Linked DNA regions of Caenorhabditis elegans. The protein of the gene in region 1 interacts with the protein of each later gene in a pairwise test. Each region holds a gene or a part of one and is shown on either strand. Other genes may lie near its edges.

Region 1 (5,947 bases):
GGTTCAATTTCATGACAGGGTTCGATTAATCTCAAGAAATTGGTGACACCAGTTATGCCTAGAGTTAGAGTCATGTACTATAAGTTCAACAAAGAGGAATAGTCACAGTAAAAACATTTTCCCGGTTTTTCAGGCCCGCACCCGAATTGAACATTATGAAAACCGTTTAAAAGAAATGCACGGGGAATTCCAGCATGTGAGACGAGAAGCTGATGAAAATCGAGAGGAGGTTCAGAGACTCAGATGTTTGTTTTAATTTTCCTCAGACGGCACCGGTATTAGAATGTATACAGGCACCTAGGCAGGCAGGAGCACGTGCCTGATTTCTAAATATGGTTTTCAAATAAAGTTACTTTCAGACGAGTTGGCACTCCGCGATGCTTCTAGGACTCAAAATCAAGCGGCTATCTATGACACTCCTCCGGATGAGTTCAGCATTAAATTTTAAAAGGAACTTTTCATAATCATCATTACTCCACTCAAAGTAGAACATCTCAGCATGTTTACATTCATTTAATATTTCATTAACAATAAATGTATTTTAATACTATTACTGGATATCCAGCTTTTCACAAAGCTAACCGATATGAAATTTTTAAAAAATACCGGAATGTACAAATGAGGTCAATTTTAAGGTAACGTTTATTGATCAAGAGCAGAACAGAATAAAACAAAAATCCGATAATAAACCGACCAACTTCAGAACAAAAATCCCAACAGACGCGATTTCTTCGTTAATTACAAAATAATATTAAACTAGCTGATGATTAAACTGACTTCAACTTTGAGAAATTTTATCAAAAGATCACAGTTTCTTCCACACAGAATACATCACTTTCTCTGCCTACATAATTTTTATCCCCCTTTTCTAATGTTATCACTTTTTGTCAATTCACTGGTTCAAAATTCTGACTATGAGAGTCACAATATAGCCTACATGTTACATGACTTCTTCCAATTCCCCCTTCCCATGCAATTTTCAATATCACGTTCCGTGACTACACTGTAGTCAATGGACATAAATGATTGGAAAATGGACGGTACAATGTGGTGTGGTGATAAGAGAGTTATCACCTCCTCCTTTCGTCTTCTATTTCTCTTTTGGTTTTGATGATCATTCTCTCGTCTTCTTATCATTTAAATTGAGTGCAGAGGCAGGTAGAAAAACTGAATTTATATTCAGTGGTTTTTTTTTCAAATTGTTAGTATTGCAGGTGTTAAGTTGAACGATTTATGAGCTCTTTTTCTAGACAGGCTTCTTTTTGATAAGAAATACTTTTTTGTATATTTTTTACAACTTTTCTGCTAACAGTGCCCTAACTGGGATATGAGACGAAATATGTAATCTAACAGATCTTTTTTTACAGTAACTATAGTTGTGTAATGTAGATACGGTATTTCCAAATTAAACTGAGATATAATATAAAAAATAGGCTAAAAATAAGATCAAGCTCTCGAAGAAACTGATCTGAAGCTCTTGCCAATTACATGCAGCTTCTGTAATTCATTTTTTCATATATTTAAGTTTCACTAAGATACCGTATTTCCTCTTTTTTTTGTAGATGCATTTTTATAAGTCTAAGTTTTAACTGTCATGGCAGGTGTAATACTTTTTGAACCGCTGCGTTAGATTCGAGCCAAGAGTTTCAATTTTCGTACAACTTATTGATATTTTTTAACTTTGTAGTACTTCGTACTTATCAATTTCAACCACATATGTTTTTTTTTCAAATTTTTAAAACTTTGTCAGTTTTAGTATGGTGCATCTCAACAAAACAATTCAGGAGGGTGATAACCCGGATCTCACTGCCGAACGCTTGACGGCAACATTTGATACTCATGCGATGGCTGCACAGATTTATGGGGGAGAAATGGTAAGCTATCTAGTCAAAATGGAATATTTGAATAACTGTCTCTAATGTTTCCAGCGCGCCCGTCGTCGTCGTGAGATCACCGCGAAGCTTGCAGAAATCCCAGAGCTCCATGACTCGATGCCACTTCCGTATATGACAAGAGAGGAGAAAATTATGGAAAGTGCTAGGAAACTGACGGTTTTGACACAAAGAATGTCAGAGATCATTGATCCAACTGATGCAGGCGAGTTGTATCATTTGAACAAGTAAGTGGACTTTTTTCTTGGACTAATACCCTTCGTTTGACAGGCTTAGGATTTTTCCTAAAATTACATGGAAAATTAATTTAGAAATCAGATTCAGCATATGAAATAGTTTTTGGTACAAAAATTTTATTATGATAACGTAAAAATAAGGAAAAGCAATTCTTTGGGATCTCATGAGATTTTTGAAAACATCGCCGAACTTTCATTTTTTTTTTACGTGCGAAACCATCCAGATTAAGGGCGATTCTAAAGAAGTTACGCTCACTGTACTTTAGTTTATCATATCAAAAATCAAAGTAGAATAATACAAAAATACAAGTTTAATAATGAAAGAGCTCTTCAAACTGAGCATTTTCCCAGAAAATCAATAATTTTCCAGCGAAGTTCTCGGAATCGAAGGAAATCCTATGGCTCTTCACGGTGTGATGTTCATTCCAGCCCTCAACGCTCAAGCTAGTGATGAGCAGCAAGCCAAGTGGCTCATTCGAGCGCTCCGACGAGAAATCATCGGAACCTACGCCCAAACTGAAATGGGTCATGGCACAAATCTTCAAAATCTGGAAACAACTGCTACTTATGACATTGGAACTCAGGAGTTTGTGCTTCACACTCCAAAGATCACCGCATTGAAGTGGTGGCCAGGGAATCTTGGAAAAAGCAGCAACTATGCAGTTGTAGTTGCACATATGTATATAAAGGGAAAGAACTTTGGACCACATACCTTCATGGTTCCATTGAGAGACGAGAAAACTCACAAACCACTTCCAGGGATTACAATTGGAGATATTGGACCAAAAATGGCTTATAATATTGTAGACAATGGATTCCTAGGCTTCAACAACTACCGTATCCCAAGAACGAATCTTTTGATGAGACATACCAAAGTAGAGGCTGACGGGACTTATATCAAACCACCACATGCAAAGATCAATTACTCTGCAATGGTACATGTGAGAAGTTATATGCTTACTGGACAGGCGATTATGTTGTCGTATGCGTTGAATATTGCAACAAGATACTCGGCAGTGAGAAGACAGGGGCAGATTGATAAAAAGTAAGTTGGAACTTTTATGAATAAGATCTGAAGAATACCAACTACTATTAGTAAAATAAAAAAGGGTTATAGGTTGAATTTCTTGGGTTGAGCTATCTCTAAATATATTTTTCATAACTAAAAAGCTTATTTCATGGCTTGAAAATAGATTCGTCTTTAGTAAGAATGATCATAACTATAACTATACATCAATACTTTTATGTGCATACCTATGTAGTACGTCTATTACCTTTATATATAGAAGTTCCGTAAATAACAGACTTCGCTGTGCCACTCACAACTTACATAACTTCTCAGTTTTGTTACTGTTACGAATTACGAACTACGATATGAATTACGCCTGTTAAACAATACAACGTAAATGTTACGAAAAATGTTACGTTTGATCAACAAAAAATGCGGGAATTTTCCCCCAGGAAAATGTGACGTCATCACGCAAAATCAGTTGAAAAATCTGCATCTCTTCTCCCGCATTTTTCGTAGAACAAACCAAAATGGGACACTTTGACACCACGTGCGAATTACGAGAAACTTAATTACTTGCAAACCCCATCCTCACTTATCCTCTTTCCAGTGAACCAGAGGTAAAAGTGCTCGAGTACCAAACCCAGCAGCACCGTCTCTTCCCATTCATCGCCCGTGCCTACGCTTTCCAGTTTGCTGGTGCCGAGACCGTGAAGCTTTACGAACGAGTACTCAAGGAGATGAAATCTGGAAATGTGTCTCTTATGGCTGACTTACATGCATTGACTTCTGGTTTAAAATCAGTTGTTACTCATCAAACTGGAGAAGGTATCGAACAAGCGAGAATGGCTTGTGGTGGGCATGGATATTCTATGGTAGGAATGTTATAATTGAAATTGCAAATTCTAAAGGAATGTTTCAGGCTAGTTACATCTCTGAAATCTACGGAGTTGCAATTGGAGGATGCACGTATGAAGGAGAAAATATGGTTATGCTTCTTCAACTCGCTCGTTACCTCGTCAAATCCGCTGCCCTTGTGAAGTCCGGAAAAGCTTCTCAGCTTGGACCACTGGTAGCCTACTTGGGCGCCAGAAGTGAGCCAACTAGCCTGATAGATAGAGTTCCAAATGGTGGAATCACGGAATACATCAAGACATTCCAACATATCGCAAAGAGACAGACGTTGAAGGCTGCCAACAAGTTCTTCGGATTAATGGAGAATGGAGAAAAGAGAGAAATCGCCTGGAACAAGTCATCCGTGGAGTTGAATAGGGTATGTTTGACTTATGCTTGTGATTTTTGAGAATACGAGTGATGGTACATTGTGGCCTTGATGTCCATTTGCCCATTTCCTTGCAGAAAATGCAAAACCTGCAAAACTTTAGATGCACTTTTGAGCTTGTTTATCAATATTTGTCAACAATCATTGAATTCTTATCAGTTGTCCCTGCAACCTTACTAGGAAAATTAGTTCAAACACCAAAATGTTGGAAAAGTGCATTTGCTATGTAGCAAAAACTGGTGAAATCTGGTAGAATTTTGTAAATCCGAAACCTTTTTTGGGCTCTATATTAGGGTGCATACTAGATACCAGAGCCGTATTTAAAGTTAAAGATGACTAAAGATTCTGAACACACTAGCTTAAGACATTGTAACAAAAGCGACACTCTTAAAATTAAAAGTCCGAAAAGTATATATTTCTAGGCGAGTCGCCTCCACACCCGCCTCTTCATCGTCGAAGCCTTTGCCAGACGAGTCAACGAAATCGGAGATATCACCATCAAAGAGGCTCTCAGCGATCTCCTCCATCTTCACGTCAACTATGAACTTTTGGATGTTGCCACGTATGCACTGGAAGATGGATTCATGTCATCCACTCAGTTGGATTATGTCAGAGATCAATTGTACTTCTATCTCCAGAAAATTCGACCAAACGCAGTTTCATTGCTAGATTCCTGGGAGTTTAGTGATAGAGAGCTGAGATCTGTAAGTTCCAAAGCTAATGGGTTCTAAAATTAAATAACTGAAATTTCAGGTCCTAGGCCGCCGTGATGGTCATGTCTACGAGAACCTTTTCAAGTGGGCAAAGGAAAGTCCGTTGAACAAGACAGATGTTCTTCCGTCAGTGGATACATATTTGAAGCCAATGATGGAAAAAGCCAGGCAGAGCAAGCTATAATTCTAATTTATATTTTTGATTTTTTTTTCTCTTGCATACTCTTTGCTTATACTGTTAAATATTTGAAAATGCAAACATTGCACTTATAAATAGTACAGGCCAATAATCACAACTCCGCCCATCACTCCTTTTATACCCTTTCCATCAGTTCATCCATCCATTCTTCTTTTTTGTTGATATCAGTAACATGGCGAACCGATCAATTCGTGATGGAGATAACCCCGAATTGCTGGAAGAACGGAGGATGGCAACTTTTGATACGGATAAGATGGCAGCGGTGATCTATGGAAGTGAAGAGGTAAGGACTGCAAACTACAAACTATTGATTACAAGCTTTATTAGGCTAATAGAAAATCAGATTATACATAATTTTAGTATGAATCAAGAGTTATCAAAGCTGAAATTTTATAATGTTTTAAAGCACAATGGAATGTATACATACATGTTCTTGAAAAATATTGTATACCTTAAGTGGAGACCATGTATGTTTCGCACCGTATAACTTAATCAGTTAGAACGACATGTTCCACCACGTGGCATTGAACAATAAAATCCCTGTAATTCCACAAAAATCAATTTTCGTCGTTTTCCCTTTGTCGGAAAAATTTTTTTTATTAGGTAAGATTAGATA
Region 2 (7,748 bases), 2.5 Mb from region 1:
GGCATTTTAGCTTCGTAAATAAAATCATATAATAGAAGTAAGAGATAGATAAAAGGTTTAAAATGACCTGTTTTTTTCAAGAAAGTATGGAAAAAACTGATCAAGAATCGAGCCGTTGAGCCGTATGAAAAAAAAAAAAACTTCCGAGTTTGAAAACACAATCGCATAAATTTTCCGCTCGCGCCGTAAACTGGGGACAAACAATTTTTGATCTATTCTAAATGTTTTCATGTCTGAAACTGAAATTGACATAATTTTGACCGAAATTTTTCGAAATAAACTAATTTTACACCATGAAATTGAAGAAGACAAAGACATTTTCAAAAGATTTTACAAGTTTTATGGAATATTAGGAAAAAAGATTTCCAAGCCTCTTGACTACGGTATTAATTAGCAATCGTGGTGAGACCCAGCAACAACATATTGAATAGGTCCTTTAAGACCAACAGTTTTTAAAGGTTTTTTATTCATCACGTGTTTTCAGCTCGACCATTCGGTGTAATTTGTGCAAACACCGTCACGCGCAAATGCAGACTTTTGCACGCGCTGCGGTGAAATTCCTCTTGGGGAATTCAAATATTTTTTCCCGCCTTTTTGTGAAAATTTTCGAGGCGTTGGTCGAGCTGAATACACGTGTTCATTTTACATTTTTAAAAATATGTTTCCGGTGTTTTCGGTGTTAATTGAAAATGTTAATTGGGCCGGCAAGCTTGAAGATTTTTGACATGAGAAATTTAGGATATTGGCGGCTTTCCAGATTACGGTATGCAACGTAAGCAAACAAACACTTCACGTAATTTTGCAGATCCACGGAAAATTTATAGTTTACTTTTTTTGAGACCCAAAGAACTCGGGGGATGTCCAATTGGGGGGATTACCAACTCGGGGGATTGGCCCCGCCCACAGAACCGTGGCTTGCAATACGCCCATTTCTGCAACTGCCGCACGGTTTCGAAACTGTATTTTTCTCAATAGAGCGAGAATTAACAAGAAAAATACAGTTTCAAAACCGTGCGGCAGTTGCAGAAATGGGCGTATTGCAAGCCACGGTTCTGTGGGCGGGGCCAATCCCCCGAGTTGGTAATCCCCCCAATTGGACATCCCCGAGTTCTTCGGGTCTCCTTTTTTTTTACTTTTTTTTTACATCAACTTCCGGTAGAATCTCGAAATTTTGGGTGTTGTTGAACTCTTCATCCTTTCCTCGCTAATATGAAAATGTATCGTCATTTTTCAGTATGTGAAAATGTATCGTTGAACCTTAAATCCAAAAAGGACAATACTTACGCGCGATGATACTTGGAAAATAGGAAGTGGTTTTTCCGATGATTTTTTCGGAAAAGTTTTTAAAGAGAAACTGCTATATAATTTTCATTCAAATAGAGATGCTATAAGCCGCTGTTCCGTACAGTTTTTGGCTTTGAGATAATTTAAATTACTCTGATCAATTGTTTTCTCCATGTTCACATTTCCATCTTCCAGATTGAACTCTTTTCACAAATTTCTTCATACAAATGAGAGAAACTGTCAGCAGTTCTGTTATTCAGAATATCGAGAGACGCAGACAGTCATACCACTTCCCGTCGTGTCTGTTCGCATTTCACACGCGCGAAACTGTCATTTTTGAACTTAATGTTAACACCCTACCCTGCCAATTCTTGAGTTTTTTACTGGCGAAATTAGCTTTTTTTATTATCAAAATATTCCAGATTTTACAATGGAGGCACCTCCGGCCCCGAAGAAGGCACGAAGGAGTGAGGTAATTATATCTGATTTTCAACAATTTTAATATCAAAACTTCAAATTTCAGGTCAGTAGGATGCAAGACGAGTCGGTGCTTTGCGATGACGATGAAGAAGATTCTCCGTTCACATTGTACTTTGTCGATCTTCCCAATGAACCAACAGTCAAAGAAATTCGCAATTTAGAAGAGTTATTCAAAGTATTGCGTTATTAATTTATTTATTTTTCAAGTTTTAGGCGTATTTTCAGACTGCAAAAGCTGTGGGAATCATGCCAGAATGGATTGATTCAGATGCACTCGAAGATCTGCAGAAATCTGAAGACTTTTTCGTTTTACCCTGTTTCCGCGGAAAGCTTTTTCGAAAACTTCAAGCCCGGAAATTGAAGTTTGTGTTAAATTAAATTCAAATAAATTCAAGTCCACAAAATAAAATTACAATATTCAGAGTATACGGTCCTCCAATTGTTCTTGAAAGTATCGAAGATGGGAAGCAGCTCCCACAATGGAATCATCCAGTGTATTCCAGTGTTTTTCAAGACGTAAAAATCAGTTTCACCGGGTTGAATCTTACGAAAAAGCAAGAACTCTACGAAAAAATCGGATGGATGTGTGGAGTGGTTGGAGATGCTCTATATCACGAAACGACTCACCTAGTAACTGAAAAAGCAGAACAGACGGAAAAGTATAAGGTTAAATAGTATATCAAGCAGAAATTTAAAATAAAATAAAAAAATTCCAGGCTGCTGTCAATAATTCAATCAAATTAATGCGAATCGGATGGATTGATGATCTCTGGGAAACTTCTCAAACCACAATGGGCAGATTTAGTGCTTTATCGCGGGATTCAGTTAATTCCTATGCATTGAGAGTTTTTGAAGGGCTCGTGAGTGATCGAAATCATGAATTTGAATTTCAGTTTTATACATTTAAATTCAGGAAATGGCAATCACATCGATCGACGGCGCTGATCGTACCAATTTCATTCAGCTGATTGAAGATCACGGAGGAAAAGTGCCTGGAACCATGTCAAAAACCAGATGTAGCTATCTTATCAGTGATAAAATTACTGGAGTAAAATATGCAAAAGCTGTTGAATGGAAATCAATGCAAATTGTGCAGTCTCGATGGATTCGGAAATGTGTAGATTTAGGACATCTTGTAGATGCGGGGTTCGTTTTTGAGAGGGAATTGGCTCAAATCAAGCGACATTCATTCAAAAAACATTAAAAAATCCGAAAAAGAGGAACATTTTGCAGAAAAAATATATTCTTAAATCAACGAGCTTACGCGAGATAAGCTATCAAAACATGCAATAAAAATTTAGGATTTAATAAAAACTGCGACAATGACAGGAAAATGAAAATTCCGTTTTTAGCAAAATAATCCTTTTTTTTCAGTTTTTTTTTCTGTGTTTCATTATAAAATTTGCTCGTTTTTGGGCGCTCTACTTTCCATTCAAATGATGTTGCCAGAAAAAGCGTTTTACAGAAAATATCATCCAAAATATTTAACGGCTGATCATATTCGATCTTCCACCCCGAAACGTGATGCTAATGTGACTGAAAGTGTGCCGGATATCTCATCAATCGCTGGACATGGAGGTCGTTTGGGTACATCTTCATTCAATTCTTCTATTCCACAAATGGATCAATCATATCAACATCAATCAGGATCTTCGTTTATTTCATTTGCTTCTACGTCAAAAATCCCGTCGAGTACTTTTACGAATAATGATTCAACATTAGGAAGATCTGGAAGCGGAGTTAGAGATGGAATGTATGTGAAAACGGAAATTTTAGAAAGAACAATGAATTTTCGATATTCAGATCAACTCCAATAGCTCGAGTTCAAACTACTCCACTGATTCGATATCCAACTACTCAAACAGCATCCGTTCAAAATATTGCTGACGTTATTTCTGATCCTATCGATGAACTTCGAAAAAATATTGACGATGGACTTGGAGATCTTTTTGAAGTTTTTTTTTTCTATTCTTTAAATCAAAATTAACATCAATTTTTCAGAACTGCATGTTCTATATATGTGGAGTCGACGAGTCTCGAATGGAAAAATGGCGTCGATTTCTGAACGAGACTGGAGCAACGCGTGTCGCAAAATTCACATCAGCAACGAATGTGGTTGTAGTTTCGCCGAATCAACAAGAACGAATTACCATTCGAAAACACCTTCATCAAGAAGATATTGCAATTGTTACTGTTGGATGGGTGGTCGAGTGTGTCAAACAGCGGAAAATGATTTCAGTGGAAGGTCTCAGCACTTTTACAACATCCTCTTTCTCTTTCGAAGTTTTTTTTCGGAAATTTGTAAATAGAGAAATATTTGTATTTTCTGAAGAAAACTTCATCTTTAATTAATAGCTTCGATAAGTTGCTTGAAGATTTCAGTTTAAAACTGAATTTTTTTTTAACTTCGAAGTTTCGTTTTACAAAACTTTTTTTTTCTCATCAACATAAACCTATTTTTGACATATCTCCCAATTTTTTCCTTATAATTTCGATGTTCTCAAAAAACACCAAAATATTTCGACGAAACTTTTGATGCAACTTCTCAAAACTTAACTGAAAATAAAGTTATCTTCAGAAAATAACAAATATTTATAATATATGTATGATTCTCCGGAAAAAAAAACTTCGATACAACAGTGAACCGAAAAAAGTGTCGAATACCTCTGGATGGAACGAACAGTTTAACTATTAATTTTTTCAGGTTATCAATGGACTGAAAATACAGCTGATGAATCACAATCTTCTCAATCTCAACTGCAACCAGTAAGACCTCAGCCTCTTCCCCGGACCTCGTCTAAATCAACCATTCCATATGGTAAAACATCAGGACCAAGCTCTACTTCAACTCAAGTCGGAATTTTCTCGTACGATTGTATTTTATTTTTTTATGTTCCTTTTCCATATTCTCATTTTCAGATATCACACGTATTGTGTCCATTGTTCCGTCGATCAAGAAGTTTCTGATGATTTGAAAGAGAAAATTCCGTTGAATGGAGGCAAACTGATGGACGATCCAGATTATGCGGAGTTTGTGATTTTCGGACATTCTGGACCAATGCACGAGTTGATTTCATTTGATGCTGTTGTCACGGATTTTTATATTGTAAAGATTGAAACCTGACAATATGCCAGACAATATATTTATTTTTCAGTACGCGAGCATCGGAAACAACAGATTTCTCAATCGATCGTGTTATCCATTATTTGTACCACTTCCCCGTCCTCCAATTCTAATTTTCAATCAACGTGGCTTCCAATTAAAATGCAAAGATCCATTTCTCCGTGATCGTGTAAGAGATATTATCGAGGACAATGGAGGAAGAATTGTGGAGCAGTTGGAACCAAAGGATTTTATTATTATGATTGATGCAGAAGACAATCCACCAAGATACCATTCCCGAACACTCGATTTTTCATGGATTATAGCCAGTGTGAGCAGATGTCGATTGCAGCCAATTGATAACTTCCTGTATAAGAACAACACGAGGCCTCTAAGTGGATTTCAACGAGACGATGATCTCTGGGAAAAGTGTTCTCGAGAGAAGAATAATAGTACACAAGAAATGGAAGTTGAGGTTGAAGATAGACATCGAGTACAGGATCTACCAGTAGAAACTGGGAATGGGAACATCGGTGACATGACGACCCCCTATGTGAATCCTTATTTCCCCGATCTTCGAAAGCCATATACGATGAAGTGAGTTTTCTGGTTGCAAATTATGAAAATTGTGAAATTCTAAATTTTAACTACCGTAATTTGTAGGTTATTGCGATTTTCAAAAAAAGAAATGTGTATTTCAGCATTTTGTGCAACTTTTTCTCTATTAATAAGCTTTTCCTGGAGCTTCATCTCAAAAATATTGTTGATCAGGTTTTTTGAAATGTATATTTTAAAAAAGAAAAAAAACATGAGACATTATTACATTAAATTTTGAAGAATCGGGAGAATATTTCTCCGGACCGTATTTTCGGAGCATTTTTGGGAGTTATAATGGTAATATCTTAAACTCATTTAGATATTTCTGAAAAAAAAATTTAGTTGCAAAACTTTAAAATAACACATAATTTGTCAATGTTATCCAATTTTATAGCCTCCAACTCGACGGTGTTAGCGAATACATCAACAATATGGAGTCACCGGCACGTGAAACACAGGAAACGCTGACAACTTCTCGAGTTGGAAGCATCCTTCGAAAAGCTGTCGTGAACACTGGAAGAAACGAAGATTTCGAGGATGAGCCTTCCACGTGCCACCTAATTCGACCCAGAGTTCCAGAAAATCGAAAAACTGTCTCTAGTGTATGGCATTTCTGTTGTATATCACCGTTAGAAGATTTAATAGTTTCCAGTATTGTCCGAATAGTTTAAGGAATTAAATATATTAAACTCATAGCCAGCTTATTAAAACTATGAGATAAATGTGTATTTTTCAGACTCCCGTTCTTGTTCGTGATGTAAACCGTTCAATGAGATATATGCCAATGGATGAATCATTCGCAGATCAAAATCAAGAACACGAAGATCTGAACCGTCGATATGCAATGAATCCACGTTTTTTGCTCAGTGTTTCTAATATGGATCCTCAAGTTAGATTTCTTAAGTTTTGATTTTCAATTCTATATATTTGTTTTTTTCAGCGAGCCGCAGATCTACAAGAAACTATCATGAAGCTTGGTGGTACCATCGAACGTGAATTCAATAAAGATGTGACTCATCTGATTGCGAGCAACATGCAAAGAGCTCCAAAAGTTCTTTGCTCAATTGCAGCTGGAAAATGGTGTCTAACACCTGATTATGTGACTAAAAGTGCTGAAGTTGGTCGATGGCTCGATGAAAAATCATTTGAGTGGACTCGAGAAAAGTTGTTGGCGTGTTCGAAAAAGAACGAGTCCCTCAAAGAACGAGATAGTCGGAAAGTTTCCGAGAATCTAGCAGCTGTTTGTGGATTATGGAGGCAACGTGTGGCAGAGATGCCGGTTACATTTTCAGTTAGCATGGTCAGTTTCTAGATATGTAGCTTTCTGGCTTTTTGGGTCAATTTCTGAATTGAAATTTAAATTTACTAGAACCAAAAACATTCAAAACTCACTAGTCTGCTCAACCTGTTTGAAACGGGCAAATCTTTCAGGAGAATCGTCAAAATGGAGCATTCTCGGATTGGCGTTGCGTAATTCATCTCGACGATAAGAGAGCTGGCGTATTTTCATCGATTCTGGAAGCCGGTGGTGCCATTGTTCATTCGATTTCCGAGTATGTAGAAGTATCTACACTTAAGCCTAACATTGTTTTGGCATCCAAAGAGTTCCCATGGAATCCTCAGGTAAATTAAGAAAATCTCTTCGATAAAATTTATTCAAATTTTAAGAGCGCTGTGTTGCTGAAACGTGATAATATTCCGATCTACGTCTTCGACATCCTTTACGACTTCCTAATCGACAGAGATAATCTAAATCGAACCAAGTTTTGGCATAATGTCTACATGAAAGCATGAGCCATTCCGATTTTCTAAATGTGCTATATATTTTTAATTGGTTTCATTTTTTGTCTTTTTTAAATTTCTAGTGATTGTTTCAATTTTTTGTTTCGTAAAGTTTTCAATAATTTTGCTTGTCCTCGTTGCTTTAATTTATTTTGAATCGTTTAAATAACGTAATTTTATTCTTCTCGTTTCATTTCTTATAAGAGAATATCTTTTCAAACAAGTGGGAAAACGCGCGCAGCTGCCTCTCATGCCATATGTTCCCGCTGTCTACGGTTTGCACAACGGGAAAATAATCAATAAATTACTTCCATTCTCTTGCACTACCCTTTTTGCAATTACGCTCTAGTGAATGGTTTTCTTATGTATTTTTTGGATTAGTATTTGAAATTTTAACAACGTTTCCAGAAATTTTGGTTTTAGTCCCACACCAAAATATCTTACTTTTAAAATTCTTCAAAAGGTATTTGAATTTCGGAGCTTATTTGTTACAATACATTTA

What was found. Proteins that work in one complex are often made in the same cells at the same time.
Region 2: the proteins of acox-1.1 (region 1) and mus-101 interact in a two-hybrid assay, tested with the Caenorhabditis elegans proteins (2 studies listed by BioGRID).

Annotation. Positions count from the first base shown.
Region 1 is NC_003279.8:12,936,805-12,942,751, forward strand, and holds acox-1.1 (Acyl-coenzyme A oxidase acox-1.1), read left to right. Parts: upstream 1-1,750; 5' UTR 1,751-1,757; coding exon 1,758-1,874; intron 1,875-1,928; coding exon 1,929-2,119; exon of another isoform or gene 2,120-2,498; coding exon 2,499-3,173; intron 3,174-3,747; coding exon 3,748-4,012; intron 4,013-4,059; coding exon 4,060-4,410; intron 4,411-4,841; coding exon 4,842-5,123; intron 5,124-5,172; coding exon 5,173-5,316; 3' UTR 5,317-5,420; downstream 5,421-5,947. Other genes in the region: tag-138 (ENTH domain-containing protein), read left to right, coding at 134-245, 360-448; Acyl-coenzyme A oxidase acox-1.2, read left to right, coding at 5,504-5,614. UniProt on the Caenorhabditis elegans protein: Involved in the first step of peroxisomal beta-oxidation by catalyzing the desaturation of fatty acid-derived side chains.
Region 2 is NC_003279.8:10,478,928-10,486,675, reverse strand, and holds mus-101 (BRCT domain-containing protein), read left to right. Parts: upstream 1-1,711; 5' UTR 1,712-1,714; coding exon 1,715-1,756; intron 1,757-1,807; coding exon 1,808-1,939; intron 1,940-1,977; coding exon 1,978-2,126; intron 2,127-2,186; coding exon 2,187-2,430; intron 2,431-2,480; coding exon 2,481-2,624; intron 2,625-2,677; coding exon 2,678-2,910; intron 2,911-3,229; coding exon 3,230-3,517; intron 3,518-3,567; coding exon 3,568-3,718; intron 3,719-3,765; coding exon 3,766-4,009; intron 4,010-4,468; coding exon 4,469-4,631; intron 4,632-4,683; coding exon 4,684-4,870; intron 4,871-4,919; coding exon 4,920-5,464; intron 5,465-5,858; coding exon 5,859-6,066; intron 6,067-6,200; coding exon 6,201-6,353; intron 6,354-6,404; coding exon 6,405-6,764; intron 6,765-6,895; coding exon 6,896-7,087; intron 7,088-7,132; coding exon 7,133-7,258; 3' UTR 7,259-7,374; downstream 7,375-7,748.